Regions from separate parts of the Mus musculus genome. Here all the other regions are reported to be linked to region 5. Evidence: microRNA targets listed by miRTarBase, many of them from high-throughput screens and not tested one by one. Region 5 holds a microRNA gene; each other region holds the end of a gene's coding sequence.

The links. Region 5 holds the annotated microRNA mmu-miR-3082-5p (GACAGAGUGUGUGUGUCUGUGU, at 1,596-1,617, opposite strand). A microRNA usually pairs through its seed, bases 2 to 8, with sites in the 3' UTR of a target mRNA and lowers its output. Matches are read on the target gene's strand: a 7mer-m8 pairs with bases 2 to 8, a 7mer-A1 pairs with bases 2 to 7 and ends in A, and an 8mer does both.
Region 1: the mRNA of Kif1b is a reported target of mmu-miR-3082-5p. Seed matches in the 3' UTR shown: 7mer-A1 at 981-987 and 7mer-m8 at 2,437-2,443.
Region 2: the mRNA of Pphln1 is a reported target of mmu-miR-3082-5p. Seed matches in the 3' UTR shown: 8mer at 3,742-3,749 and 7mer-m8 at 2,813-2,819.
Region 3: the mRNA of Tln2 is a reported target of mmu-miR-3082-5p. Seed matches in the 3' UTR shown: 7mer-A1 at 2,493-2,499 and 8mer at 2,462-2,469.
Region 4: miRTarBase lists Paxip1 as a target of mmu-miR-3082-5p. Seed matches in the 3' UTR shown: 7mer-A1 at 1,671-1,677 and 7mer-m8 at 2,023-2,029.
Region 6: miRTarBase lists Dennd6a as a target of mmu-miR-3082-5p. Seed matches in the 3' UTR shown: 8mer at 2,783-2,790.

What each region holds. Positions count from the first base shown.
Region 1 is chr4:149,176,014-149,181,086 of GRCm38, reverse strand. Kif1b (kinesin family member 1B) reads left to right here. Exons shown (of 49, transcript NM_001290995.1): 49 at 277-4,768. The coding sequence ends at 319. Among named protein-coding and RNA genes, the nearest start is that of Pgd, 12 kb to the right of the region's middle.
Region 2 is chr15:93,488,294-93,493,357 of GRCm38, reverse strand. Pphln1 (periphilin 1) reads right to left here. Exons shown (of 9, transcript NM_175363.4): 9 at 1,445-4,384. The coding sequence ends at 4,190. Among named protein-coding and RNA genes, the nearest start is that of Pphln1, 92 kb to the right of the region's middle.
Region 3 is chr9:67,216,891-67,221,963 of GRCm38, forward strand. It overlaps Tln2 (talin 2), which reads right to left. Exons shown (of 58, transcript NM_001081242.2): 58 at 195-4,628. The coding sequence ends at 4,500. Among named protein-coding and RNA genes, the nearest start is that of Mir190a, 17 kb to the right of the region's middle.
Region 4 is chr5:27,738,080-27,743,152 of GRCm38, reverse strand. It overlaps Paxip1 (PAX interacting (with transcription-activation domain) protein 1), which reads left to right. Exons shown (of 21, transcript NM_018878.3): 21 at 650-3,073. The coding sequence ends at 665. Among named protein-coding and RNA genes, the nearest start is that of Paxip1, 51 kb to the left of the region's middle.
Region 5 is chr17:25,829,811-25,834,883 of GRCm38, forward strand. It overlaps Mir3082 (microRNA 3082), which reads right to left and starts at 1,618; the gene lies at 1,555-1,618. It overlaps Jmjd8 (jumonji domain containing 8), which reads left to right. Exons shown (of 9, transcript NM_028101.5): 5 at 1-43; 6 at 132-251; 7 at 329-396; 8 at 490-624; 9 at 700-2,033. The coding sequence ends at 780. It overlaps Stub1 (STIP1 homology and U-Box containing protein 1), which reads right to left and starts at 3,109. Exons shown (of 7, transcript NM_019719.4): 1 at 2,882-3,109; 2 at 2,236-2,434; 3 at 1,986-2,151; 4 at 1,734-1,821; 5 at 1,499-1,555; 6 at 1,292-1,408; 7 at 824-1,200. The coding sequence starts at 3,043. The coding sequence ends at 1,075. It overlaps Rhbdl1 (rhomboid like 1), which reads right to left. Exons shown (of 8, transcript NM_144816.1): 8 at 4,655-5,073. The coding sequence ends at 4,975.
Region 6 is chr14:26,628,657-26,633,729 of GRCm38, forward strand. It overlaps Dennd6a (DENN/MADD domain containing 6A), which reads left to right. Exons shown (of 20, transcript NM_001134465.2): 19 at 16-90; 20 at 772-5,073. The coding sequence ends at 903. Among named protein-coding and RNA genes, the nearest start is that of Arf4, 6.9 kb to the right of the region's middle.

The DNA of each region.
Region 1 (5,073 bases), not on the chromosome of region 5:
GGCTGTGTGAGAGGAGCGCATCTCACAGAGTCCCCAGCGTAGGAAAGACCTCATAGCTGTCCCTGGGCTACTGTTAGGAGTCATAATGTCCATATGTGCTCTGCAGGCTATCTGCTCTGCGACCCCTGTGAAAAGGGTATTCAACCCCCAAAGGGGTCTCGAGTTGAGAACTGCTGGTCCAGCCATTTGTTTAGGAGCGTAGAAGCCTGGCCTGCAGAATCGGCTGGGAGAGACCAGCATCCACTCTTCTAACGCTGCCTCCTGTTTTTCTCATAGGTCAAAACTCTCTCGCAGATGCCCGAGCCAGCCAAAGTACTGAGCGTTCTCCTGAGCCTTGCTCACCTTCGACAGATAAAGAAAGTGTTACCTCTCATTCTCTTTGTGATTCTTGACAGTTATTCTTGTATGTAATCCTGTGGCTTAACGACTTTTCCCTCCTCACCCTGCACTTCTCTAGCTCTCTGTTCCCTCTCCATGGCTCTGACTCTTCTTATTCTTGTGCTAAGACTTGTAGCATGTGGCCTAACAAGGGGAACAAAACCACTACACGTCCATACACACTCACACTCACACTCACCCACACCCGAGGGGACCCAGCACATCTCCAAATGATTCTCCTGTGTGCTTCAGCTTCCTTTGGATGTTAGGTCCCCTTCACGGTCACTGTCCGACTGTTGTCTCCGTAGCTCTGGTTTTCAGGGTAACTTCTCTGTCTCTCTTTTTCTTTCCCCTTTGTTTATGATAATCTTCTTTTTTCTGGGTGGTTTAGAGACTAAGGGAGGAGACATTTGGTATTGTCAGCCAGGAGAAGAAAACTTGTTAACTTGTTTCTCTCTCTCTCTCTCTCTTCCTCTCTCTCTCTCTTCTCTCTCTCTCTCTCTCTCTGTCTCTTTTTCTCTCAGTGTCTGTCTCTGTCTATTTGTGTGTGTGTCTGGTGTCTGTCTGTCTCTCTCTGTGTCTGTCTCTGACTCTCTCTCTTTCTCTGTATGTGTGTGTGTGTGTGTCTGTCTGTCTCTGTCTCTCTTTCTCTTTCTCTTTGGTGGCTAATCCATGTGTTTCCATTCAGGGAAAGCACTGTGGGAAGCTCAGAAATGGGATTTAAATTCTCTGTCTAAATCAGGGCTCGGAGCATGGATGTATAGAGTGGAAGATGCAGAGGGGCCTTGTGATTGGCCTGCAACAGAGGCTGCTGCTAGCCCTTTAAGACTCGGGCTGCTGCAGTAGATTGGGCAGTGGGTCACAAGGGTGACTGTAGCTCCTTACAGCAGGGTCCAGCAGGCTTGTCTCCTCCCTGGGAAGGAGCGTTTGTCTAGGAGTTTCCCAACTCTAGTCTCAGTGTCACTGTTTGGAATTAGGTGATGTCATGAACAGATTTCCCACAAGAGGGACTGGGGAGTGTTTGACTTTCTGGTGATATGGACCATTGTTGCTTTGAGAGTGCTGAGTGCAGCTTGTGATTGTTGTCGCTCCCTTTGATCAAAGACTTGTAGCTTCAGCATAAATCTTGAGGTCTCCATCTAAATCCAGTGGCCATTTCCAGTAGTTCTCGTCTCCATATGAACAAACATGGCATTGTTTTCTGGATGCCAGAACTGACCAGTCCTTACCACCACTCCAAACAAATCAGAAGGCATTTAGAGTCGAAAAAGATTGTCTCCCAGCAGTTTGCTACTGGATTGTGAAATGCCTCCTCTGTGACATGCCCCCTTCCCCCACTGTCCTCATCTGGTTTGGAAATACTCCCTTAGGAAGAATTTCCCTGCTACCAGTTTCTGTGGCTTCTAACAAACCAGGCCTCCGGGTTTAAGAGGTTATAGAAAATAACGCTCTTCCTCCACCGGCCAGTAAGTGTCGGGGACTGAGTGGGGCACAGAATGCCCGCTGGGGCTACTTGAGTTGCTGTGCCAGTGACTTGGGGAGCATTCACACTGCTGTTTCCTGGCCTTGCCAGCCTGTTTCAGCATCACTCACGCACACAGGAAGGCATCTGCTCACCTCCAGTCTGCGAAGGCTCCTGGCTACCTGAGGGTAGAGAAGGAATGGATTTCCTTCTGGTGGAGAGCCCATCTCCACTGCAGAGCAGCCACTAGGGAGGCGAGCATGCAGCCCCTTGCTTCTCTCTGAAGAACAGGACTCCCAGCTTCCTTTGTTACAGTTGCCTTGCAAAGAAAGGAAAAGTGGACCATGGAGAAAAGGAAAGGAAAGGAAAGAAAGCAAAAGAAAAGAAAGGAAAAGGCAGAAATCAGACTGTTCTTATCTAAAAGATGCTCAGCTCTGGTGGATTTTTAAAACTTTCTTTCTCTCCTTAAAGTATAGGTTACTAACTGTAATGTTACTTGTTTTCTAAACATATCTATGAGATTTTTAATGTAGTTAGAAGTCTCTGTTGTCTAATGGACACAGCATGTCCTTCTGGTGTATACTCAAATTCAGCAGACTCTGTCTATGCCTGTAGACAGTTTCCTGGACCGGAACTAAATCTAATTTCAGGGAAACGAAGATCAAAGGTCGCTTTTAAACTGAATCACTGATGTTGCTGCTGTTAGGAAGGTAGGCAGAAGGATCCATGTCTGTGCCGAGAGGTGTGACGCCTGGGGGAGGGTGGCAGTGTGCGGCACACTAAACCCTGAGATAACTTGTTTTCTTTTAACTCAAACAAAACTGGTTTAGAAAGTCTTTGCTTTGCAAATATCAAATGTTAGCATGAGCCAAACTGGACCCCGCCTTCATCAGAGGCCCCTTAAGGAGACCTCATTAGAAAGCCAGGGAAAGTAAGGTTGGAGCTTGGGCACCTGTGCCTCTCCCTGCTGTCACTGGGACCCCTCCTACTGTAAAGCCCAGGATCAGGTCAGAATCGGAGCATTTGGGGGCTTTATATTCTGTTTCCAGACAAGGTCACCTGCTCCGAAGCTCTGAAAGAGAAAGGGTTTTATGGCAGGACCTGTTCATGAGATTTTTGTGATTGCCATAGTAGCAGGAAAGTTAAGAGAACTAATCTTTAAAATAAGTATTTTTAAGATTTTTTTTTAAATTTTCAAAGCACTCCTTTAAACAAACAAACAAACAAACAAACAAAAAACCTACAAGGAAAACATACAAATTACAGAAAAGTGAGTGCTGGTTAAAATGAATTAGTCTCCCCCTTCCTTTATGTCTTTATCCTCCTTCCTCCCAAGCAGATATAGCCTCATAACTGTCCCCCGCCAGTGCTCAGGCCTCGCCTGCTTCTGGGAGACGACCCTGGGAGTCAGTCAGCTCTCAGTCCCAGACTGTCAGGGACCAGGCAGTCCCTGCACAAGGCGAGGTGGGAGCACAGGCCAGACTGCTTCTGAGCAGGCCCTGATCTCCAGTCCATAAATGAGAAACTTGATGAGGTGAGAGCTGAAGGTTCTTCAGCTAAGAAACCATTATTTTTTTTTCTCTTCAGCTATGTGGAATTTGTATATCTATCAATTTTTCAGGTTTTTTTTTTTTTTATCTTGTTTAGATGAAGGAATGAATGGTTGTGAAAGGTGTTTGGGGTCTAAAACATGATTTTTCCTGGCACATATTTCAAAGCATAGACTTTGTTACCTGCTGCTTCTTGTCTAATTTACAGGGATATTTAATTTTGTAAGGTATTTGTATATTTATACAACTGTAATGAATTGCACATTGGACTGAAAGGGGAAGGCTCTGCCCTGTGTGGCTCCTGCTGGGACTCTAGGTTGCTGTGCTTTGACTTTCCTGAACAATACCAGGGGGGTGTGGTTTGTTTAGCGTGGGTCCATCACTTTTCATTTGGGTTCCTTTTGGAAAATGTAATCTTTAACTTGCTCTGTGAGAAGAAAAGAATGATTGTGTTGCTGCTCTTGGAAGGTCTGCTGAATGCTTTTGAGTGACCTCTGGCACTGTGTACTGCCTGTGATCCACCAAGAGTGAGTAAGACCACGACCGTGGAGCAAGTCAGAGATCGTCAGCCGAGAGATTATTGCTGTTACTGTTCAAAAGGCCATTTATGAAGTAGATATTTGAGCTCTTTAAAAAAAAAAATTTAAGAGAGCCCCTAATTACTTAAAAAAGAAATTTAAGAAAGAAATTAAGAGTTGATACAGAACCGGTGTTAAAAACTCACAGCCAGAGGTTAGGGGTGTTGGTTAGTGGTAGGGCACTTGGCAACTATATGTGATGCCATTGGTTCAGTCCCGGTTCTGAGATCAGACAGAAAGCCTCACGGTAGATAGCTGCTCAGACAAAGTCCAGGCAGAGGTTGGTCTTGTGCCAAACCCTGGATGTTCTATGTTGTCATGTCCTTAACTGATTCTTTTCATGCTGTGTATTCTGACATCAATTCACCGAAGGGACCCACCAGCCTCCTCATGTTTAAGCATTGTCGTAGACTTTGTGGCTCTGACATACTTGTCTGTTGAGAGTGGCGTCTCCTGTCACCATCCCCATGCTATAACAGAATCCATGAAGCATAAGTGGCCTTTTTGAACCAAGACTTTGCAAACTGATCTCTCCCCAGGGAAGGAGTTGAGCACAAGCAACAATGTACATTATTAATTTTGGATTTCATTTTCATGTTTTATTTTGTAAATATCTAATGTTTGGAGCTTGAGTATACAAAATGTAAATACAGTTCTTGTATTTGTACTAATCCTGATTCTTTTGCTGTATAGCCCTAGATGTGTAATGCAGACATTATCTAACTGTGTATGGTAACCTTGCATCACAGAACTGCTAGTGAACGAGGTAAAAATAATAAAGGTACAACCAGTGCATCACACCATGCGTGCTTTAGTCTTTTGTTTTGGTTTCTGGAGACAGGGTTTCTCTGTGTAGCCCTGGCCATCCTGGGCCTTGAACTTGGATCTCACACACACACCACCACCCCACCCCCACCCCCGCTGCCTCCAGGGTACTGAATTAAAGGAATTTACCACCACCTCCAGGCTTTTGTACTTTATTCTTTGCCCTTTGGAAAGCCATTGCATACTAATTAAGATTCTTACAGAGCCTTTAATCCCAGCACTTGGGAGGCAGAGGCAGGCGGATTTCTGAGTTCGAGGCCAGCCTGGTCTACAGAGTGAG
Region 2 (5,064 bases), not on the chromosome of region 5:
AGCCAGCAACAGTGTACTTATAATAATAAATCAATCTTTGAGCTGCAGCAAGCAGGGACCGAGCGAGCAGGGTTGACCAGAGCAAGCAGGGCTGACTGGAGCAAATAGAGGTCCTAAATTCAATTTCCAACAACCACATGAAGGCTCACAATCTGTACAGCTACAGTGTACTCATATACATAAAATAAATATATAAATCTTTAAAAAAAAAAAAAAAGAGGATCAGGAGAAATAGGACCACAGGGAGTAATGGGAGATGGATGAGATTAACCTATGTACACAGGAAAACATAAGGAAACTGACTCTGTATTATTAATGCAAGCTAATCCACATGAAGGAGGTCTGCTGCACAGACACCTGTGAGATGACAAGCGATCTCTGGAGATAATGTATACCCAAATGTAGACAAGCAAAGCAGGAAAAAGGGCAAGAAGGGTAGGTTTTCTTGAAAGACCTTTTCTGTTCTTGGTTGGGGGACATCAAACACTTTATTCGGAGATTTGGGTTTCAAGGTCTCCCCAACACTGAGAGACTGTCCCCTTCCGTCCCTTCCCTGTGAGTGTGAGCACACAGGCAGAGCTCCGAATTCTGGGTCTTCAGCTTGAGCCCTCCGGTCCTGTTTCCTTCACACTTTCCATTGCACGGAACATCCCGATTATTACCATCAACTTTACTGGACTGAGAAGCACCGAGATGATTATTAGAAAGGCACACTTCTGGATGTCTGAAGCTCTTTCTCAAAAGGTGACATCAAGGGGGAAGACACTCCCTGGGTGTGGTATCCAGAGGAGAAGGAAGAGGCCCACAGGTGTCTACTTCACCCCCCCCCCTCCCCCGGGCTCTATGCTATATATGGAGCAATTCTGCTCTGCTACAAGTTCCCCACCATGAAGGCACGCTTTACCACAGATCCAAAAATGGTGGAGCCCAGTAGCTGAGGGCCCACATGCCTAAAATCAAGATTAAAAAGAGAAATCCTATCACAGCAGTGAAAACTGACTTTGGCCACAAAGGGACATACCAACCTTTCCTTCTGAGCTCCTCACACCTCTCAGTCTGAATGAATCCTATTTCTCAAGTTTCACTTGAAGGTGAAGTCAGCTTTAGGCTGACAAGCACCAATACCTATAGCATGCCAAGCTGTGAACCAGACTGGTACAGAGAGCCCGGTTACTGCTGTGCAGGAGTGATGACAGCTCAGGAAGAAGACATTCAGCCTCGTAAGTTCAGCTCTGTAATTACTTAGTGTCACTGGGCCAGGCACTATGAGGACTGGCTTCTGTAACATCAAAATTCCAGAAACCGTCCAAGTTAACAGCGCCTCGATCCTCCGACTTCTACCTGGCTGTCGAGTGGTGAGCTGACTGCTAGAGTCATCGTGCAGGCACAGATGAAAACGCTTACACTTCAGTCACAGGAACCAGGAAAAACGAGAGGAGACGAATTTATTACTTAGTATCGGATGCTTTATTTTGCATTTACAGTATCTGCTTTCCCCATATTGATCATCAAGGCCTTATGGTGAGGCAATGAGAACTTATCATATGAATCAGGTCTATTGAAAAACAATGGATAACTTACAAACATGTCTCCGTAGAATCAAAAACATTTTATAAAACATACTCTAGTACACATGAATTTTAGATGTCAAAAGGCATTTAAAAAAAAACAAAGATGAAGGAAACATTTAACACTGTGGAGCCTGGCAGAACAGCGCGGACGGCAAGCTGGACACAGCTTCGAAGGCCCAGTGTGAGTGGAAGGAAGAGGATGACTGGCTGGGCCTTCACTTAAATAATTTATCAGTAAGATTCTCTTTTTAAATGAATGTTTCTACCAAGTGAACATTTTTTTTTTTTGCCTTGGAAGCTCCTCAAATTTTATACGTATGCTTGTTAATAACTTGATTTAAAGAGCTGAGAATTAGTGGAAGGGAAGAAGGAAAATCGCTTGTGGTATTACTGAAGTGACCGGCATTGCGCAGCACACGCTCAGAAGGGGAGTGTGCGCAGAAAAGGGATGGAAAGACTCAATGCCAAAACGTACAAGTGTTCTCACTTGGGGAATTTAAGAAAACAAACAAAACAAAAAACATGTCGTCAATTAGTTTTAAATTTTCAAAATGGCATAATACAAATCTTCACACATCTATTTTAGGGCTCATTAAAATTAACCATTCTTCTATTTCTACTTAAGTATAATCTGTATGTGGTTTAGGGATATCCGCAGACAGGATCATAGAGGCCACTCAATGGTCACGGCAAGCATTGGGGCTCAGGAAAGCTGAGGCAGGAATCCCGAAAGCTAAAGGCCAGAGCAGTTAAGTTTGAAGCCAGCCTAGGACACACAGCAAAACCCTGTCTCGAATCAAAAAGTAATAAGGACAGAAAAAAAATGAAAATGAAAACAAACAAAAGGATGCTGAGCAGGGTGGCCCGTGGGCTTAACGCCAGCATGTAAGAGGTAGGGGTGGGGAGATGTCTGTGAGTTTAAGGCTATCCTAGTCTACACAGAGATTTTCAGGCTAGCTAGGACTATACTGTAAGACCCTGACCCCCCTCGCCCCCCCCCAAAAAAAGGTAGATAATTTGATTGGGCAGTGATTTTTTTTAAGGTGCCTAATGTCACAAATTTAGTATTTTGCCTCAGTGAACCAGGGACCAGGAAGTGAGCAAGAGATCCTAAGTGTCTCTTCACTGATTCAGTGGCTCACTCAGGACCTGCTGGCAGCTGTGCTGGCCTCAGTGTGTTCTGAGGACACTTGTGAGCAGTGAGCCCCTCTACGCCCACAGAACTGAGATCACGGAGATGGACAGAGTAATCTATAGCTTAATCCCAAGCATGAGTGCCATGTCAGGTCCCGTTTTTGATATAATGTGGGCCTAAAACATAACTTAAGTGCTCTGTATATTCTAATTTTTTTATTATACCCATGAGATGGGTTTCTGAGACCATCTCAACTTAATATTCATCTTGCATCTCAGATTACCTCTCCTGTTAGTCCATAATATTGTCTAGAGAGAGCAGGTAGAAGCCTTAAGAGCACTTCATAGAAGAGATGAACCAAGTTTACTGACTTGGGAGAAGATTTTGTTCTAACAGATCCTTACAGATTTTCAAGTGCATTTTTTTGTATATTGAATAAGAATTATTCTCAAAGCAAATATTGAATGATAGCAAAGTTCTAACTCATTAAGACAGCATATTTTGACATCACCAACTCAAAATGCTAACGGTACCACTAATTGTATGCAATCTGGAATGATCTTAACTACAAATTAAACTCCTGAGACCAAATGATCACTACTGTTAGACTGTTTCGACCCCTGACTCCCAACAATAACACAGAGACTTTTTATTATTTATGAATGCCAAGGCCTTATATCTTAGGCTTCTTCCCAACTAGCTCCTATGGCTTAACTAATCCATTTATTTTGGTCCATGTTTGCCACATGGCCCGTTATCTTTCAGTCCCTGAAAGTCAGACTTCCTTTTGTGATGCCCTGCCCTGCCCTGCCTTTCCTTTCCTGACCTACAGGCCCTCAGTGTTTACCAATCAGAAGGTGGTGGAGAGGAGAGTTTACAAACTACAATGAAGGTGCTTAGCAATTCAAATAACAATACCAAAGAGTATTCAGCTGGAAATCAACATCTGAATACAGCAGTGGTGGCGCACGCCTTTAATCCCAGCACTTGGGAGGCAGAGGCAGGCGGATTTCTGAGTTAGAGGCCAGCCTGGTCTACAGAGTGGGTTCCAGGACAGCCAGGGATACACAGAGAAACCCTGTCTCGAAAAAAAAGAACAAAAAGACAAAAAACACAAAACAAAATAAAAAAGACAACCTTTACACGGTATGCAAAAAGATGACCATAGACGTCATGGAAGACTATGAAACATGGGTTAAATACAGGGAGCTGCTCTCCAGAGCTGCTTTTTTCTTTTGAACATTAAAGTAACTGAATATTATTTTTGGAGGGAGGAAATGTATGAAGATAGAGTAGAATATTCTACACATAGGGGAAACATTCTAATTAAGATACTTTAAGCTATTGTAGATGTTTATTTAGTACTAGAAATGTGCTTAGCTATCATAAAGTATTTCTCTTCATCACAAAATAGTAAGGATTTACACAATCCAAGGAGAAAAAAACAATCTAAGAAAACCTTTTGACCTGGGTACTTCTTCTTCTAAAAGGGGTCTCCAAAGTCCTGAGCAGAGTTGTCATACTCAGTAATGAAACGCTTGAGCTCTTCCACGCAGCGCTCACCTATCTCGTGTAAGTTCTGCCTCAGTGCAAACTGGACAGACTTTTCTAATGAGGGATCTTTTTCAATCAGCATTTTCACCACCATCCCGAAAGTCTCGCAGTCTTGTCGGTAAACCTAGGATGGCAAAACACATTTGGATTAGATGAGTGAATTAAGCCCATGGCTGGCTGAGCCGGTAGAACTCAGCTGCTGAAACCTGTAAGGGAGCTAAACCTGTAAGATGGCTGAACCTCCCCTGTATCAGCACAGCCACATGCCTTGGGTATCAGCTCACAACTGAATAAGCAGGCAGGCAGACAGACAGACAGACGCACCCATCACTGAGAAAAGCACAGGGCTTTACACTTGGGTTAGGTAAAGAAGGTAAGGACAAAAGAAAGGCAAAAAAATCCTCACTCATTTGTTAAGAGAAGAAAGGCTTTGTCATCAGCGTGCCAGCCACACATTTAATCCCAGGAGGGGCAGAAGGATCTCTGAGTTGGAGGCCAGTTTGGTCTACATAGCAAATTCTCTCTCAGCCAGAACTACTACAATCGTAAGACACTGTCTCTGAGGAGGGGGAGAGAGCTTCTGAACTTCAGAGACTCTGAGTCACAACCAGTCAACTCATCCAACAAACATCTGTAAGGACGCCGCGCATCTGTCTGAGGGAAGCACTTTGCCTACAAATATTTAAACAAAGCCGCCAAACAAAAAAATCACGCACGCACAGATGTGTACGCTACATCCATGTATATATAAACACACATGTACATGCGTTGTGTGTTCTTTAATAAATATACTTTTATTTCAAA
Region 3 (5,073 bases), not on the chromosome of region 5:
CGTCTCCCACCCATACATGTACACACACACACACACACACACACACACACACACACACATCCTTGGTTATTGTGGAGATAGATGTTTGGCTCAGGGCAGAATTTCTCCTCCATAAGCAAGATGCCCTCTTCTGTCTTTTTTGCACCTCACCCCCACTCCCACCCCCCGCCATTGCCATGAAACCTTCACACAAGTTCATTCCTTTAAAAGTTTATTTCTGATGAATAAAAAAAATAATTTATGTGATTAGATAAATTAATTTATGTGATTAAACATTATGACAAGGGCAGAGCTTCCCTTTCTTGTCTCCTGACAGATGTGGCTGCAGAGGGGCTCGCATGCTATTGCCTCCTGGTGGGCAGTGAGCTGGGTTCCAGGGAGACCAGATAAAACCTAGCCTGTTTCACAGAAAAGTGTCAGCCCTTCTTCATAGTATTGTGAGACTACTGGAAGTTCCCTCCTCGTGCTCATTCCAAATGACCACAACTTAATACATCAAGTGCAAGCTCACCCTGATGGAGCAGTGACGTCAGGCGATTTGTGGAGGATGTCTTTCCTAGCGGAGGCTGCCGACTCAGTGGGAGGGACTCTGGGGTGAGGTGAGATCTGGGCCACCAGCATAGCCCCTAAGACCTTTCTTTGGCTTTTAGGACTCTGAGCACTGTTGCCTCTCAGCCTGTAAGCAACTATTTTCTTCCAGTTCCTTGCAACTTGCTCAGTAACTCAGATGTGTCTGTCTGTGTGCGCGGTCACCGAGTTCGTTTCTTCTAGGTGTCTGAGCAGAGCATACAATCAGTGCTGAGATCTTAAGCTTTAGCTCCCAGAGGCTCTACCTTAGCCCTGGACTGCAAAGCTCGGGGAGATTTGGGGGACCACCTGCCAGAGAGACAAGAGGAAGTGCAGTGGCACCTCTTACCACCTCCACCCTAATTCCTTCATCAGGTTCTGGTTCTGGGGCCGCTTAGGAGGTGGGGATAAATACATGCTTTTAGGTGGTGGGACATTTTGGTTAAAGTCTGTGTGTTGCTGGGAACCAACCCAGGGCCTAGCACTTACGAGGCAAACATTTTAACACTAAGTTACTTCCATTAGCTGTTGGTTTTCTGAGACAGGATCTTGTTACCCAGCCCAGGCTGACCTTAGACTTGGCAATTCTCCTGCCTCCACCTCCCCAGTGCTGGGATTCTAAATGTTCGCCGTCACACCTCGTTACACGGTTTTTAACACTTGGTTTCAGCTGTCCCTACTCTCACCAGCCGGAAGAGAACTCAGACAACAAGCAGATGTGTGTGCTAAGAGGCTTAGAGGGTTTTCTGGACGAAGAGTGTGCGCCAGCAGATCTGTGGTGGCTTAGCCCTGAAAGCCCGTGCACAAACTGAAGCCAGGGCAGCTGCCTCTGGAAATCACCAACGCCAACTGGAGGACTGCCTAGGTCCTAAGTATCAGCTTATGATGACCTTCAAGACCACCTCCCAAACTGGCCAGTGGAAGGGCTACCCAGGGCTGTCTGACCAAACATGGCTTTTGCATCCTGAAAACCAAAAGACCTCTGAAAGGCAGAAGTAAACCAAATGCAATTTCCCAGCCATCAGGCACATCCTACTTTTAACCATCAAACAGGGAAACACAGGACAGGAAGATCAGTGTAAGGATTCAACACCCAATGTTGGCCTCCCTCACGGGACCAGAGGTAGGAGTGCACTCTGCTGCATTCCCAGTCCCCCTCACAGATGAATTCCATGTTCCAGGCCTTGGGCCATGGGCCTTGAAACTACTCCAAACTGCAATTCACTACATCTGCATTCTTTCTCCCTTAGGAGCCAGAAGACCCCTCAGTGCCTCTGGGGACACAAGCAGCAGCATTAAGTAATGCCTGTAGCCCAGCATTTCCGCTGGTTTATGAAATGAGGAGAGATCAGCCAGCCACGAGGACATTCACATACATGGACACAGCATGGGCTAGCAAGGGACAGGTGCGAAGTAGGCCCACGACCATGGAGGAGAGACCTGAGAACGACCTCTTCCCAAGTTCCTAGTGCACATCACCCCAGACAGGAGGACACTGTCCCACTGTCCTGAAACTCCCCTCATGGCCCCTTGCCTTCATTTGTTAGAGGTCTTCTCCTGTGTCCACTTCTGTGAAAGTTTTAAACCACCCTGGGGTAGGGACAGACACTTGGTATCTGTCCTGCCCCTGGAATGTCCAATGTGGCAGGGGACAGGTAGGAGGAGGGGTGAGGGGCTAGCTGCCTGGAAGCATATCCTACAGGAAGAGGGTGAGCCAGCTGCAGGAGAGCCTCTTGTCCTACTGTGTGAGATCACCGTCTTGATCATGAACTTTGGGGTTTGGCTTAATAGTTTTGCATAGTACCCAGCAAAGGCGTGAAGTGGCGCACACCTTTAATCCCAGCGCTTGGGAGGCAGAGGCAGGCAGATTTCTGAGTTCGAGGCCAGCCTGGTCTACAGAGTGAGTTCCAGGACAGCCAGGGCTATACAGAGAAACCCTGTCTGGGAAAAACAAAACAAACAAAAAGAGTTACACTCAACAAGGGTGAGCGAGGCGGTTTGCTTTCCCATGAGCATCAAGGGCTCCCAGCATGGAGGCTCTCCAGCAGCCCTGCTCAGCCTCAGTCCTTCCATGTGTGCCCTGCATTTGCTTTTCATTCACACCGTACTTAGATCCTTCTACCTGTGTGAAAGGGATTCCTTTGTGCAGCATGTGTAAGTCTCTACACATCTGGGAAGGTGTCAGGATTTCATTATGTTTTAGAGCTGTGGCACAGGAGAGTCTGCTCGAGGAGCCTCATCTGGCAAGGTCGAGGGTTGATTCTCTCTTTCCTTTCGGAGGACCAGAGTACCAGTGTTTCTTCTTTGGTAGAAATCTGGATGGAAGTGGTGAGCCCAACATACAATGTGGTACTGGTATCATATCATTAAGGGGGAGAAAGTCTGCCCTCAGCAGCCATTAGCCTTGAAGACCATATGCCTTTTTTCCTTCTCTCTCCTCTTTTGGAGGCAGGGTCTCATGTAGCCAAGGCTTTTCTCTATAATTTACTATGTAGCCAAGGCTGGTCTCTGACTTACTATGTAGCCAAAGATAACCTTGAACTTCTGATCCACCTGCCTCTATCTCCCTGGTGCTGGGATTACAGGCTTGTGGCACCACATCGAGTTTATGTGATGGGACCCAGGGCTTTGTGCATGCTAACCAGGCAAACACTCTACCAACTGAGCTACAGTCTAAGCAAGCCCCTGCTAACTCTTCACGAGTTCATTAACATGCTGGTACTTGGTATCAGGCCCTCCCTCATCCCTCATCTTAGGCAGGGGCTCAACTCAAATGTAAAGTCAGGGATCTCTGATGTTCTCTCCAGAAGAGGGCCCTGAGAGGAAAGGCACGAGGGGAAGGCATCGGGAGGTTGAAAGGGCAGCACCCAGATGATGTACTGTGAAAACACTTCTGTGACAACAAGCAATGCTGTCACACAGGTTCACAATGACCAGAGGGGACATTTAGATTTTAGGATTATTAAGATAAATGGTGGGAAATGCCCCCTTGAGATCAAAGGTCAAAGTTCTAAACAAATAACTTTCCTTCTTGAACTTGGACCCTCTCAAGTGCACAGAAACTGATAATAGGGCTCGAACATGGGAACCTCCTTCCTAAATGCTACCTGACTCTTCCTCCAGGGGGCGCTGCACTGAGATCCATCAGGGACATAGTCTCCATGTGTGTGTCTGCATAAACTGAAACAGCTTTGCTGAGTGAGGAGCCCAGTATTTTATTCCGGCCCCTACCCACCTAACCCTGACCACTTTCCACAACTCTGCCCTTTGGATTATGGAAGGGGGAAAAAAAAATAACTTCCATTTTTCTGGGCCACAGAATACAAGATGGGTGTAGTTGTACAAGGAGCTTACACACTGAGGCGAGAAAAGCGTGCAAACGGGTAGGGGATCTTCTCCCCCGTGGGTGAGTCAGTGCCCCACACTTACACAGACCTCTGTGACTCCAGAGTTCACTTGGGAGTGTTTCTGGCTTTATTAACAGTGTCCAACTCCAGCTGTCTTCTCTCCAGAGAGAGAATCTCTATGTCCATGATACTGATGATTCCTGTGAGCCGTTATTAGCATTGTTCTTTCCCGAGTGTGATTTCACAAAGAGGCCCTGGAGCAGTCTTAGAGGACACGGAGTACAGGTGTCTGAGAACAACGTAATACTGACTTTTCTTTTTTGGTAACAGTCCATGAAATGCGCCCTCTGTCCTGAGATATAGCGAGGCGTGAGGGGAGCTGGAAGAGCTGTGGGTGGGACACTGTACCGTGTGAGACCATGATCATGCAGCTGATAGTGACGGGACTGAGGACTGAGAGAGACAGACTCCGGTGGAGGGCCAGCAGTTTCCAGGAAGTTCCTGGCTCTGGGGGACACCAGTATGTCCAGTTCTTGTTGGGGGAGTAGGAACCACCTCCTGGGGCTCACCAGCATGGGGGGTGTCTTAGCCCTCATCTTCCCTCAGCTCTGTGGGGAGGAATTTGTACTGCTGCTGGCGGATCTGGGCCAGCTTCTTCCTGGCTTCCTCCAGCTCTCGTTCTTTCTTCAGCATTTCCTCCTGGGCTGCAATGATCTGAAAGGAGACAAGAGCGGAACGGAGCTAAAGCTTTTGTGAAGGCCTGTCTTCCACAGCCCCTCTGGTGATGGACGCAGATGAGCGTTCTTTTTTAAAAAACAAAACATGTATTTATGTATGTTGAGGGTATGTGTATGTGCCTTAGCACACATGTGGAGGTCAGAGGACAATATGTAGAAGTCAGTTCTCTGTTTTCAACGTGTGGGTCCTGGGGATTGACCCAGGTCTCCAGGCCCCAGGCCGCGTGCCTTTACCATGAAAGCATCTTTCTTGCTGAGCCGTAATGCTGGCCCGGGAACAGCATTCTTAGCTCTGGAAACTAGCCTACCTCACGGCTTGGTTTTGACACCAATGAGCCAGCTGATTGGGGGGGGGGGGAGCTGACTTCAGGGTAGGAACCTAGTAGCAAACACCTCTGGTATCGATACCAGGCTTGGTGTCT
Region 4 (5,073 bases), not on the chromosome of region 5:
GCACATCCTCTGATGACTTCTCCAGGCTTCTCCAGACTTCTTCTTAACACTGCTTGCACTTGAGAACATGGTAGAGCTGCTTCTCAGGTTACATTGGTCAACTGAAGACCTGCCCATGCCTATTGCCCAGTGGTTCTCAACCTGTGGGTGTCAACTCCTTTAGGGTCAAATGAACCTTTCACAGGAATTGCATATCAGATATTTACATTACAATTCATAACACTAGTAAAAATTACAGTTATAAAGTAGCAATGAAAATAATTTGGTGGTTGAGGCTCACCACAACATGAGGTATTTAATGGTTTGCAGTTTTAAGAATTTTGAAGATCACTGCTGCTCTCAATGTTGCCCACATAAGACACTTAGGGTGACAGCTCTCTTAAGGACATGTTTTTGTGGTGGCTTTGGGGACAGGAAACCAGGAATGTAATGTGCTTGGATTAGGCTTTAGCTATGACCTAAGCAGGGTGCCTCCACTCAGCCACCCATGTGGCAGATAGAGAGCCTATGCCATGGGTGTTGGAGTTTGCAACAGGACAAGATAGCTTGAATACAGAAGGAGGTGGTCTCTAGAACTACATGGGGGGACTCTGGCCTAATGTGGCCCTGCTACCTTGTGTGTGAAAACCATTTTCCTCAATGAGGCCACATATAAATTTAACTGATGGCCTCTTGCTGCTGCTAGCCTGGAGCCTGGAGCACAAGGGTAGCTGCTGGCAGCATGAACCAGGACTCCCTCCCCGCAGAGGGCTTGTTTTCCAGCTCTGCCTTAGGGAGAGACCTCGACCAGGAAGACAGATGTAATACTGACTGCATCGTGTTAAGATGTGTGATCTTATTCTAGGAAACATAAATTATGTTTTGTATTATATGCCTAAGAGCCCACATTAAGTCTTCTGATTAATTTGCCAGGTTTTTAATGTGTTTTCAGAAAGCTGTGTGAAATTTCATCTACAAATAAAAATGATGTAAATAAGACTTTGCTGTCTAAATTATGGCTGTTAAAGATATGAAATGTTTTGTACTTTGATTATTTTTATTTCTTACACTTTTCTTTTATATTGATAACTTGCTCACAGTTAAATAAATGTACTTTTGAACTTAGAATTGGGTGATTATTTAAAATTTCATATTCTTTGCATAACATAAATGATTTTCAACAAGCTGGATAGCATTTTGATAAATTTCACAGCAGAGTATTTTTGAAGTAACTTTTCTCCTGGAGAAATAAGTTTTGATAGTATTTCATAAATAGTCACCTCTTACTGATATGGCAAGGGGGCTCCAGACAGGTGGACTGGAAGCCTGGACAGCCACTAAATGCAAACTGTGAGCCTGTTCCCAGCCTGGGCAGAGCCTACCCTACTGTACTGATGTTGTACTCCAAAGCATGGTGGGGACAGTGCTCTGTTCTACGGGAAGGCCCGGTGTCTTTTGCCTACATGTTTCCTGGCTAGCCCTGATCTCTGGTGACTTTGCATAGGACTGTTACTATCTGCAGAAACATCCTTCTGTTGGACATTCCTTGTGGCAGGTGTGTCTTCACAGGCTGCTTTGGAGAGGCTGTCTAAGCAACCTGAGAGACTTCCTACAGAGCTGGCCTTTATCTGGTTGAAGTTGTCACTATGAAATACTTCCAAATGTGGAAATTGGGGTGAGCAGAAGAAGAGCTCTGTACGTGGGGACAGTCGGATTTGCCAGCATGCCACATGCCATCCTGTGTCCTTGATCCTAGAACAAAGTGGATGTAGATTCAATAGCCTTCTCTGTGGAATGTCACACATCTGTTACCTGTGCAGGAGACAGGATGTTTCTTTAAGAGAGATATGACTGATTTTTTTTTTTTTCTGGTTTTTCGAGACAGGGTTTCTCTGTGTAGCTCTGGCTGTCCTGGAACTCACTTTGTAGACCAGGCTGGCCTCGAACTCAGAAATCCACCTGCCTCTGCCTCTCAAGTGCTGGGATTAAAGGCGTGGGCCACCACGCCCAGCTTGATTTTTTTTTTTATTTATGTGTATGAGTACTCTGTTGCTGTCTTCAGACACTCCAGAAGAGGGCATCCAATTCCAATTCCATTACAGATGGTAATGAGCCACCATGTGGTTGCTGGGAATTGAACTCAGGACCTCTGGAAGAGCAGTCAGCGCTCTTCCAGCCCTTGATTAACCTTTCAATTAGCATCTTCTGTAAGCTGCCAAGAAATGCAACTTGAGGAGCTGTCCAGAACCACAGCTTACACAGCTGTTCCACCCGAGGTTGGCTGGGAGGGCAAGGTGACAAACAAATGCTGGTTATGAAGTAAATCAGAAAGGTGGTGGTTTCAAAAATGGTGCACATCTGGAGTGCCAACAGTCGAATGCTGAGATACAGTGTTCTACATGGCAGACCCTGGGCTATCCAGGGCTACATGGGTGAGATCCTGTCTCAAAAAGTAAATAATTATATTTTGCCCACATTGTTTAAAATACAGTTAACTCTTTTCTGGTAATTGTATCTGTTTTTAATTAATGTTTTATAACATCAAAGTTTCAGTCTCTGACCCCTAGGTACATGTTAGTGCTCAGCTGGTTACGTTTGATGGTGAACAGTCATCATGAATACATCACTTGTAGTCCTGTGATTTGCAACACTGGCCAGAGGTAGTAGGTGGAAGGTTAGTGGCAGGACTCAGGGGGTGTGTTCAAACCATTACAGAATGGTTTCATTGTTTCCTGAAGTTAAAGGGGAGTGACCTGTGCGGTTTTGGTTTGGTTTGGGAGGAAAGAGTGCCTTGGCACTCTTTGATAGTCTTTAAAGATCTGGTAGTCTTTAGTCTTGGAGTCTGGAGTGTCAGGAACCATCACCACACACCATCAGTGGGTTTTCAACAAAGTGCTTAAGTTGCATAGGAAAGTTTCTAGTAGAAGCTGCACAGCTTGCTTCCTTTAAACATTTTTACTGGAAATTGGAACACAGTTCATCAGAAGGTATCTGTCCTGGGCACCTTCTGAGAGTGCTGTTTCACTCCACAAAGCATTTGTGTAATAATAAAAAAAAAAAATCAGTATTAAAGTCCTGATGCTGAGAGTCTAAAGTGAGCCTGTTCTCACAATTTCTGTCCCCCACCCCAGGTTCAGACCCCTTCTCATGCTTCACAATGGCTGCTGTGTCCCTGGTGCCATAGACACAAGCAGCTTCAACTCTTGTTTTTCTCAAAAACAGGTCAAAGAAAGTGACTGTGTGCCAGAGCACATGTACACGCTGGGGCAACCTGGAGATGATGGAGGAGCTGGCTCTTCTGCTCTGTGGGTCCCAGAGAGGAAACTCAGGCCGTCCCTTCTTTTACTTCTTTATCTTACAGGCTGGCCTCAGGCTTGCTCTGCCCCAGAGGATAATCCCGAGTCTGGTCCTCCCTGCCTCCATCTGATGCTAGAGCTGCGTCAATGTCTCTTACTTGCCAGCGCTCTGTGGTCCTAGGGATTGACCGCAGGACTTGATGCATGGCCAGCAAACACCCCAGCAATCACATCCCCAGCTCTCCTGTTTGCTTGCTTCTTGTCCTTGCTCACTGTACTGCAGACCTGTTCCCAGTGTACACTCGCCCACTGCCAACAGCTGCCTCCCCTCCATCTGTTTTAGCAGGATTTTGATCGTCCACACCAGTCTTCCCCCTGGTTAGTTGATGAGCAGTTTCCTCGAAATAAGGTTGTGCTTGTGTAGTCAGGCTAGAAAGAAAACACGAGTTGTGTCCTTGAGTCAAATCTCACTTGCGACACACCCTGTCCACCCTTGCCAGCCACTCTTCTGCCTCTGGCTAATCCTAAATCAGAATGCTCAGTTCCTATGTGTCAGGCTTTTCTAGGTACTGAGTCGTGTGCACCTTTCCCCCCACTTTCCTGCTGCTTGTTTTCTGTGCCCTTTCTGGTAGGCTGTCATGGACCCTGGCAGGCTTATGGTTGCCTTTTGGGCTTGCCTGTTGTAATCTGGTTTCTTGTCTGCTTTGGAAAAGCCTACGAGAGAGGCTTGATGCTCTATGGGAGGAAGACTAGTTTGAAGGAATGTCTGGTTTATTCATAGAATTGATGACTGCCACATGCTATCAGTGGCATATGGACACATGGGCAGAGTGAAGGCTAAGTCCTTGAAGTGGTGAGTTTATTCTGGGCTAATCAGGTGATCCAGTAGAACCCCATATGCCCTGAGAAAGGGGCCCAAGAGATGAGAAGAGAGGGTTTAGCCTGTGTTAATATCTGGATGCTGTACTGAGAGCCACACAACACCTTCACCCCACAGAGGTGGCACACAGCAGAGGCAGGCAGCTGGAGTATGAGGATCTACAAGTTTGAGGAATGGTGGCCAGAGTAAACAGAAGACAATTGTCCCCTGGCATCTCTGCAGACTGTGGACCTCTGCGGTTTCTTTTGTTGTTTTTGTTTCTTTTAAGACAGGAACTCAACTGTGTAGCCCAGGTTGGCCTCAAGCTTGTGATCCTCTTACTCCAGCTTCCCAAGTGCTAGAGAGTTAAAGGCATGCATTACCATGCTGAGGGATGACCTCTTAGTTTCTGTCTAGTAAGACCCAGCCTTCTGATTACAGAAATGTAAGAGAATGGGGTTTTTATTTCAAGCCACTGCCTTCACTGTTAACAGTTCCCAGGAGTAACAGAAGGATGTGGGTAAAATTGTTAAAGTCTGCTCTATGTTTCTGGCAGATGTGTGCATGCCTCTGCATTGCCCAAGAACACTAGATTCATGAATGAAAAGACACACACACACCCTTTATGTTTTAAACTAGCCCAGTGGCTGGGCCAATCCTGAACCTCCACATGGCTAACACACTCTGTGCTGAGTCCTCACCCAGCTCCTTAGATGGGGACTGTAGTCAGCAAGGGAGTTTTGGTAACTGGGTTGTATGGGGCCTAGTTTATTTTAGTCTGGTTCTATCCTTTGTTTTTGCTTTTCCTATAGCATCTTTCCACTTTCTAGCTATGCAGACAAGGCTGGCTTTGAACTCCTGAACATCCTTTTTTTTTTTTTTTTTTTTTGTTTCCTGAGTGCTACACATGTGCTCTAACTGGGGCCTCAAGAAGAGAAG
Region 5 (5,073 bases):
GAACAGCTGCTGCAGCCCCAGGATCCTGCATCCCTAGGCAATGGTGAGCCAGACCCAGGCAGCGGTGGGAGTGGGGTACTTGGGAGCCCACTGTTGCCAGTACTCCTGCCTATCACCCTCTCTGCTGGCAGACACCCTGTACTTTTTTGGAGACAACAACTTCACTGAGTGGGCATCCCTCTTCCAGCACTACTCTCCGCCACCATTCCGTCTCCTGGGAACCACCCCTGCTTACAGCTTTGGAATTGCAGGTAGGGGCTACTTCAAAACAAACTTGGGGGAGCCCATATATATTTTGTTCATCAGCTATTCATAACTGACCCCACAGGAGCTGGATCTGGGGTACCCTTCCACTGGCATGGGCCTGGTTTCTCAGAGGTTATCTATGGTCGGAAGGTCAGTACAGTGTTATGTGTGTGTTATGTGTGTGTGTAAATCTGGTGTCTATAGTCCATTGCACACATAGTGACCTTACACTCCTGCCTCCAGCGCTGGTTCCTCTACCCTCCTGAGAAGACACCTGAGTTCCACCCTAACAAGACCACATTGGCCTGGCTGCTGGAAATATACCCATCTCTAGCCCTGTCAGCACGGCCTCTAGAATGTACCATCCAGGCTGGTGAAGTCAGTAGCTGGTAGGTGGGGGTTGGGCTAACTCAAAAAGCCATGAATCAAAATTTTTTTTTTCTTTTCTCCCAGGTACTGTATTTTCCTGATCGGTGGTGGCATGCCACACTCAATCTGGACACCAGTGTCTTCATTTCTACCTTCCTTGGCTAGCCAGACAGGCAACTGGCAAGCCCACTGCACCAGCACATGCCAATGTAGTGCTCACAGACTTTATTACAGGACAGTGGCAGCAGCAGCAACCTCAGCCCACCCTCACCCACTCTCCAGCCCAGAAGGGGGACAAGGGAGGCTCATGGTCCAGCAAGGGGTATGCTGAGAAGGGGAGCAGTTCAGAACCCATCAGCAGGGCCGATGGGGGCAGGCCCAGGGACACAAACTATACAGGGACTGGAGCTTCCGTCTCCAGATCCTCCTGGGCCAGGGTGCCAGGCAGGACATGGGGCCTCAATAGTCCTCTACCCAGCCGTTCTCAGAGATGAAAGCGTCAATGACTTCCTTCATGGCCAAGTTGGGGATGAGCTGTTCCTGGGTCAGAGGGCTCCGGGTCACAGGGTCAAAGTGGCCCACACGCTGCAACAGAGTCAAGAGTGTTCAATGGCCTGAGTATACCGATCCGGGTACCAAGGCTCTCCATGGCCCGGTCTCCATGGGCCCTCCTTACCTGCAGGTGCTCCTCAATGTCCTTGCGGTCATAGGTGATACCACTGGGTGTAATGCAGGGTTCCCGCATCAGCTCAAAGCTAATCTTGCCACACAAGTAGTCAGGGATATCTCGCTTCTATAGCACAAGGGGAAAATGTCTAGAACTGGAGGGGGCTGTGGGGGTCACCATACCAGCAGCAGCCGATGAGCTTCCGGGGGTCCTCACCTTTCTTTTCTCGTCCACCTGAGAGAAGAGCTCATCCATATCTGCCATGTATTTATCCTGCAGAGTTGAGTGCCATGTGTGGGCAACTCCTGTCTCCACACAGACACACACACTCTGTCCACCAGGGCACTCATGTCATGCATGGGCCAACAGATCCACCAAAGGCTGGGGCACTTTTCATGCCACACACAAACACACACACAATGACCCACATGTGGACTAGGGGCACCCTCACGTGCTTGGCCTCAATGCAGGCCTGCTGGGCCCGGATGTGGCCATCATCTTCATGACCCTCGTGGTTCCGCTGACACTCCTCCAGTTCCCTGAGGGTTAACCAGAAGCTAGTTGGTGATGGCCCTGACCAGGAAATCACAGAGCCCGCCCCATCTCAGGCCTCTTTCCTCCTGGGCTTCCCATGTACCGGTTGTTGTCCTTCAATAAAAACACTTGTGCTGGTGACTCAGTGTCTGCTGGGGGAGGGACCCACCTCTCTCGCTCAGCAGCAATGAGCCTGGTGAGATATGAATGCAGCTCACTCTCCTGGTGGATGCGCCGTTCCTCGATACTGTTCCAGCGCTTCTTCTTAGCAATGCGAAGGGCACTAGGAATATCATCCCCAAAGTTGAGTCGCTGCTCCTTGGCCAAACTATAGGCTAGGGGAGTGGACACTTTTGGTTACACTTGTCAACAATCCTGGTCCCCCAAGGTGCCCTCAACCTTGCATCTTGTCAGCCCACCTCGCTGCAGATTGGCAATGGCCTCATCATAACTCTCCATCTCCAGCTGGCACTGCCCCAGGAAGAAGTGCGCCTTCACAGACTGCCCGTCCAGCTCCAGGGCTCGCCGGCAGTCAGCAAGTGCCTGTTCAGGCTGCTGCATCTTCAGATAGCACAGGGCCCGGTTAGTGTAGTACACTGCCACAAGTGGGTTCCGAGTCTGGGGACCAAGACCAGGCGTCAAAGAGTGTGGGCTCAGTTGATCCCCTCTCATTTAGCAAGCTGAAAGCCAATGATCTGGTCAATGCTCCAGCTTTGGGGGCCCATGGCTGGAATAGAGGAACTGGAGATTTCCGAATTATCAAGAGCTCTGGATTCTGGCCATGCTTTCTTGCCTCCAACTGCTTTTGAGAGAAATCCCACAACCCCTCTACAAGCTCTGGGCTTGGAAATCTCAAGGGGCAAGAGCTCCTGGTGTCATCCTTAGTCTTACTTAATCAAGCATCCCGCCCGCCAGTTCCCAGTCAAATCAGCCCTAGACTCGGGAACAGCAATCCGGGCACCAGGGGAGCGAGCGAGCCATCGAGTCCAGGCTGCCAGAAACCCTGTCCGGGATCACAAAACTGGGAGGCACATCGGGCCCCGCCCCCGCCCCTCCCGCACTCACGATGGCGCGGCCGTAGCAGGCCGCCGCCTCCGGGTACTTGCGGCCCACGAAGAGCCGGTTTCCCTGCTCCTTGAGCTCTTGCGCACTCGGGCTCTTATCAGGGCTGCCGCCGCCACCAGTGCCCAGCCGCGCGCCGCCCTCCTTTTCCTCCTTGCCCTTCATGGCGCCGCGCGGCACGGCTTGGGCTCCGCGCCCGGCCACCTAGATCTCGCAGCCCGCGCAGCGATCAGCTCCGCCCGGTCGGCGATCCGCCACCGGAACTTCCGGTGTGGGGCGGAGCTGGCATGGGGACACGTGAGCAAAGGCGGAGCCTCGTGGATTGAGCCAGTTCCCTTAGCTCTGAGAAGCTTCCGCCGCGCTCTACAGGCCCCGCCCTACAGTAACCGAGACCTACCCTGCTCAGACCAAGGCTCCGCCCATCGGCGCTCAAGCCCCGCCCTCCGGCCCCAAGCTGGGCGAACGTGGCAGCGGTCATTGAGAAGTGGCCTTCCGAGGGCCGGTCACTAGGCCCGGGTCCTAGCGCACCACCAGGGCACACACGGGCTCACGCGACAGCCTGGGAACGTCTGGACCGCCGGTAGGAAGGCGGAATTGAGGGTAGAAGAGAGGCCCGCAGATCAGACCGCTCTCGAGGGGCTTCCTCGGGAATCGGGAGGAGCTGCCTGCGGCCATTAATGGCTGAGAAACAAGCACGTGACACGCTGACACCGAAGGACCTTCTGCGGTTGCTATAGAAGTAGCTGCGGGTGCACGGCTGGACTCTTGCCCTTCTCGCGGTCATGGGGAGGAGCTTCTTCAAGGGCGGAGCCGGCTGGTTTCCTTGGAGAGCGCCTGCACCAAGACCCTTTGACCCCATGGTCTGTCGTTGAGGCATTTCTAGCCGCTGCTGCATCAGCTGTTGGCCGCTAACACCCCCAACCCCGGACTTGGAGAAGCAGAACTCGGCTTTCTGCTGATCTGGGCGCCGCAGTCAAACTTCGCTGCGTGGTTTCTGCCACTGCCTCGAGTGAGTAGGTAGCATCTTTGCCCAAGTTGGGTGGGGGCTCTAGGAGCTCAAAAAAAGCTATCCCCAGAACCTCCTTGTCACTCTTTGCAGTGGTCCTGGAGGCAGAGGTTTCTGGGGTTGCAGCTTTCATATACGAAGAGGCGGTGGCTACAGTTCCTAGCTTGCTAACCCTCCAGTACACACTCAAGCACTACTTGCTGTTTCTAGCCCAGGTGCAAGAGTTCACTGCCTTTCTGAGCGGGGCTGAGCGGGGCCTGAGAGGTCATCCAGGGCCCCATCATGGTTCTGGTGGTTAGTAACTTGACCCCAGAACCCTTGTGGACCTCACTAGTGAGTGTCTTAGAGTTGTAGACTCTTCGTCTTGTGCAAACTTGGGGGGCAGATGTATGCCCAGACCTGCTGCCTGACCTTCACCCTGACTGGGCCTCCCACAAGGACCTGCCAAGAATTACAGGACCCAGGCCAAGTGAACCTAGCTCTGTTGTGGGCTTGCGTTTGGAAGGGAGGCTGAAAGAACAGGAGATTGGAAGCTCTTGTAGCACAATAAACGATTGCTGAACTTGGACTGACCTGGAAGTCCACAGTTTCTTCCCAGGGGCCCCACCTCCTGTGGATTCCGGCCATGGCCAGGAGTAAAGCTACCACCTCAAGTCAGGTGCAGAGCTTGAAGGGAGAGAGGGAGCACAGACCGTCCTGGAGGGGAGGTGTCTCATACAGCTTGGGTGAGGGGGCAGACAAGCCTGCAGAGCCCCAGGACAGCTACCTGGTGCTGTGTAAAATATTTATTCATTCTCCAAAAAGGCTCAGACTGCAAGTCCTGGGGTCAGTGGGGAGGGAAGGGGTCTCCTCTAGGGCCACGCTCAAGGTCCTCCACCCAGCCCTGGCCCAGTAACACCCCTCCCCCTGGAAAGCCTGGGGGGGGGGGGTGCAGCAAGGGCTGCAGTAAGACTTGGCTTCAGCTGGGGGTGGGGGATCACAGGGCCCCCCTGCCCCTGTGGGGAAAAGCAGCCGAGAGGTCCATTCATATAGGGCAGACATGCAGGCCCACCTGGTGCCTGGCTCTAGCCACATGGCCCTAGGGAGCAGGTCAAGGTGGAGGGGGGATATCGGCACCCAGCAGGTCATAGGCAAAGACGTTCCAGAAGATGGCGAAAAGCAGGAAGGTGCCATAGGCAAGTAGCACCAC
Region 6 (5,073 bases), not on the chromosome of region 5:
TTCTTACTGTTGTAGGACCTCCTTCTCTGGATCCAGAAACACACAGAAGTAGAAACAGTGGACCTTGTGTTGAAGCTGAAAAATAAGTTGGTATGTAACTAAAGAGATGAGGATAGAAAATGGACCTTTCTGGGAAAATATTTTCTCATCTGAGCTGACTCTTACTCTGTTGTGTACTACAGAAGTCGTTTTTTAAATGAGAACATTTGAGATTGGCCAGTTGATGGTAGATCTCACTAGAAATTTTGCTCATTCAAATAGATCAAATGATTCTAAATTATTTGAAAGACATTTAAACAATTTTAAAAATTATTTTATGAGTATAAATGTATGGCCTGCTCTTAGTAAGTGCACCATATGCATGCAGTGTCTGCAGAAGCCAGAAAATGGCACCCCCTCCATTGGCAGGGTGAAGCCATGTATACACTAGGACCTGAACCCAGGTTTTCCACAAGTGTAGCCAGTGCCCTTAACTGCTGAACTCTCTAGCCCCTCAAAGAGATTTAAAACAGAATCTCCTGAACTCTCTGAAACCATTGTCTTACCTAGATTTTATGGCACACACTATCCTTTGGCCTCATCTATGAGTGTATAGAATGGCCTTTATTAAGGTCTCTTTACACCCCTCCCCCACTTGATGTTCTCTACAATTTTAGTTTCTGTAAATTCTAGGCTGAGACCTAAACTTCCAAGTGATCATTCTAAAAAAAGGTGTTTATGTAGCAAAGACAATATATTCACACAGATTCACTAAAACCGTTCCTTATGTAGTTGCAGGCTGGCCGAGAGAGCTTACCTGTGAAGCCTGACACTGTGGAGAAGTTACGGACACATATAGATGCAATTATCCTGGCCTTACCAGACGACCTGCAAGGCATACTGCTCAAGACCGGCATGACATAACACTTGTCAGGTTTTCCAGCCAGAAAGGACTGTGAAGCAGGAAGCATACTGACATTCATCTAGACGCACACTGAGCAAGCTCAGGGGCACAGCACGGAAATAAGCAGCAATTGCTAGATACAGCTGGAAAGGCTGAGCGGACACACAGACATTTGTAGTGCGTTCTGTGGTGGTTCCACAATGCTGAAATACCGAAAGACATTTCCATATTTTTAATCACGTTCTAAAGTGCTCTTATGAGAGACCTATGGGGCCATCAGTGTAAGTGACTCCAAACTGCAGTGCCGGCATTGCAGATATTTTTTTAAATTGGTGCTGCTTTGCCCAATCATGTTGAACTCAGGGGAATAGAAGAATAATGTTCACACTGGCTGTCTTCTTAAGAAGGAAAAACTGAACTTTCCAACTATAGTTAGATATAACTGAGGCTTATGTAGTGCCTTCCATTGTCCTATATGTTTCACAGGGTCCAGCTGCTAATTGTAAGGCTTTTTCTTTTTTAATTATGATACATAATTTCAAAGGCATTATGTCAAGTAATCACTTGCCCAAAAGTATTTCTTGTTGCCCCTCATGTTTATTGCCTGTTGTTTTAAATTATCATGTAGGTTTTCATGTCACAACTCTCTACCATTTTCACAACTTAGGTGTGTCTCCGAGGAAGGAGGCACATGCAGTTCTGGCTATGGAAGAGCTGATTTCTCCTCTCTCTTTTACTCACTGGCCTGCATACACTAGGTAGCTTGAATGTCTTTTGAAGACATTCTCACAATGAACATCATAGTTGTTTTTTAAAAGAATATTTTTATGTCAAAGATAAGCCATTCATGTAATAATTATTTGAGAGTTTTACATTTACCTTTTAACGTTATTTGTTGGGTGACACTATTTCCCCTAGTGGATGATTTTTAGAAGACTTTTCCTGTTGTTGTTTGACATGGGACCTTTTGTGTAAATCAGCATTACACTTTTGTTTGTTTGTTTTCATTTTGTTTGTACTACCTTGCCAAAAGTAGAATGAGATAGTTTGGTTTCAGATGGGAGTGTTGCAGAAGCCACTGTTCAGATAGGCACACACAAAGCAGCACATGTGTAAATAGCTGTGACTTAAGTACCTGCCCTTCTGAGCAGCCACACGGTGGCTTCAGAAGCCATCTCTTATTCTTTTGCTGTTATTTTCAAGGGCATTCCTGATCCAAGAAGGTTTCTCTGTGTGTGTGACTGTGGTCTCATATCTAGGGTGCCCCTTCCTTACTCATGGATACAGTCTCTTGAAGCATACCACTGTCCTAGGAAGAATATGGCATTTGAATGAAATCATTTGTCTGGATTGATTGATTGAAAATTTATTTTGTGAAACAATACTGACCTTTCAGAAAAGGGGCAACTACTTTTATATGCTAAAGTACTTCATAACTTTCTGGGAAACTTTATTTAGGTAGAAATGGTCATCTTATTATTTTTCAAAAAAATGTATTTTAATAATTTCACAATTTATATACAGTTTGTGACATGAATATGAAAGTCATTAGTATTATATCAAGGATTTTTGAAATATACTTCTACAGGATATATCATTTGAAGTTTATTTTGCACACCTAAAGAAAAACATGAAATATCAATTAGCATGATAATGCTGTCTTTATGTTTACCACATATAACAGAAACTCAACACATGGTGAAAACCAAATCATATTCACCTACTTTATCTCTTAATTTCAAATTATGCATTGGAAACCCAAGGAAGACTGAATGGTTAACTTAAATTTTTATGTCAGTTTTAGAATTTCAGAATTGTCTCTTTCATTGTTTTTGTTTTTTGTTTTTTTTTTTTTTCGAGACAGGGTTTCTCTGTGTAGCCCTGGCTGTCCTGCAACTCACTCTGTAGACCAGGCTGGCCTCCAACTCAGAAATCCACCTGCCTCTGCCTCCCGAGTGCTGGGATTAAAGGCGTGTGCTACCACCGCTAGGCTCTTTCATTGTTTTTAAGGAGTTTAGTATTCAAACCCTGCGGTTTGTTTAATGTGTTATCTCCACCAGCATTAGAAGGAATCAGTGCTTAGGGTGTTCTGTAATGCCTAGTGCCTTCTCTTTACAGTGGAAAAGAGGGTTTGTGGAGGCATTTATGGTCATTACCCAAAGCTTGAATTAAAGGCCTTGGATTTTAAAAAACTTAGGTAGCTTGTGTTATGTGTCTTCTTTTTTGGTTGGTTTTGTTTTGGAGACAAGCTTTCGTGTATCCTGGACTGGCTTCACACTCCATGTGTAGCCATGGATGATCTTGAACGTCTGCTTTTCCTGCTTCTACCGCCTCAGCGTGGAGATTGCTGGCCTGTTCCACCATGCCTAGTTCAGTGCTGAGGCCTGAGCCCAAGGATCCATGCATCTAGGCTAGCACTCTGCCAACTGAGCTACGTGCCCAGCCCTAACTTGGATTTCTTATATTTGCAATACTTGGAGAAACATACATAATGAAACTTGTACATTATTAAAATATTTTATTTCTAGATAGTTTTTTTCCAAATGAAATGAAAATCCAAACCTTTTTGTGTGTATTTTATTATAAACAGGTGAAATGATGAGATCCTAGCCAGACGCCGGTGGTGTACACCTTTAATCCCAGTGCTCAGAAGGCAGAGACAGTGAAGTGAAATGAAGTGTACTGAGGTTTAAAGCGGTTTAGATGTGGTACTCATTATGGGTATTTGTGTTTGAGTTTACTTGTTTTTGAGGCAGGGTGTCTTTATGTAGCTCTCAACATTCTGAAACTCACTAATGTCTGGACTGGTTTTGAGCTCACAGAGATTCCATGTCTCTCCCTTCCTAGTGCTGTGATTAAAGGCAAGTGTCACCATGCCCAGCATAATGGATGGATGGGCACTTGTATGGGTGCACAAAAAATCAACTTTGAGTGCTGTTCCTCAGGAACCATACTTTGGTGTTTTGGTTTGTTTTTTTGAGACAGAGTTTCTCACTGACCTGGCTAGCTAAAGACTCTAAAAATTCCACACTGATGCCTACAGGAGAAAAGGTAGGTGGGTAAGACTCTTCACTGAGGCAGAGATACTTTTCTACTACTGAGGATAAGTAATGTTCAGAAGATGTAGCTTTTCAGAAGATGAGTAATGAAGTAACGTAAGAAAATGAGATTAGTGATACAGTTTACAAAGCCAAAGGGAAAGCAAGGGCAAAAATTCCACTGTTTGTACAGCAATTAGTAGACCATGTCGCCTGTAGTCTCTGAACAGTGAGTGATATATGTTACATTGAGATTAAGTTTTATTTATTTGCAATACTTGAATTTGATCAGAGAGCCTCATGCACAGTAGGCAAGTTACCACTAGGCAAAGTAAGAGGATTCAATGGAATACTGTATGTTCAGTGCAATGTCTGTCTTTGTAATCCTTCATAACCACTTATCACTGCTAGATATTAGTACTATAGAATATATCCTCTCAAATGTTTGAATGTTAAGAAATATGCAGTTCCCTTTTGGTTTTTGCTAAGTAGCCAAGTGTAGTCTTGAACTCACAATCCTCCTATCCCAGACTCCAGAGTAGTACAACTTCAGACATGTACCACTGTCCCCAGTTATTTTTTAAATGAGCTTGAAGTGTAGAAATACCTACAGCATTAAACCCAAAAGGACTATATATACAACATTTGTAAGCAAAGGGATGTCATTAAGAATGATTGGTTAGCCGGGCGTGGTGTCGCATGCCTTTAATCCTAGCACTCGGGAAGCAGAGGCAGGCGGATTTCTGAGTTGGAGGCCAGCCTGGTCTACAAAGTGAGTTCCAGGACAGCCAGGGCTATACAGAGAAACCCTGTCTCGAAAAAACCAAAAAAAAAAAAAAAAGAAGGATTGGTTAGAGATAGGTGTGTAATCCAGCAACTGAGAAGCTGAAGCAAGAGGAACTTGAGTTCAAGCTCTGGGCTATAAAGTTAGATGCTATTAGAAAGAGCCAGGTGCTGGAGAGAGAATTCAGTGGGTGAGAGGACTTGCTGTACAATCACTGGGGCCCACGTTGGTTCCTAGCATCCTTGTAAGAATTTAAAGTTACATGCACCTGTAACCCTAGAACTGTCGGAACGGGCAAGAGAACGACTGGGGCGTTCTGGGGTACCAACGTAGCTTCAGTTTTAGTGAGAGACCCTTTCTCAGGGGAG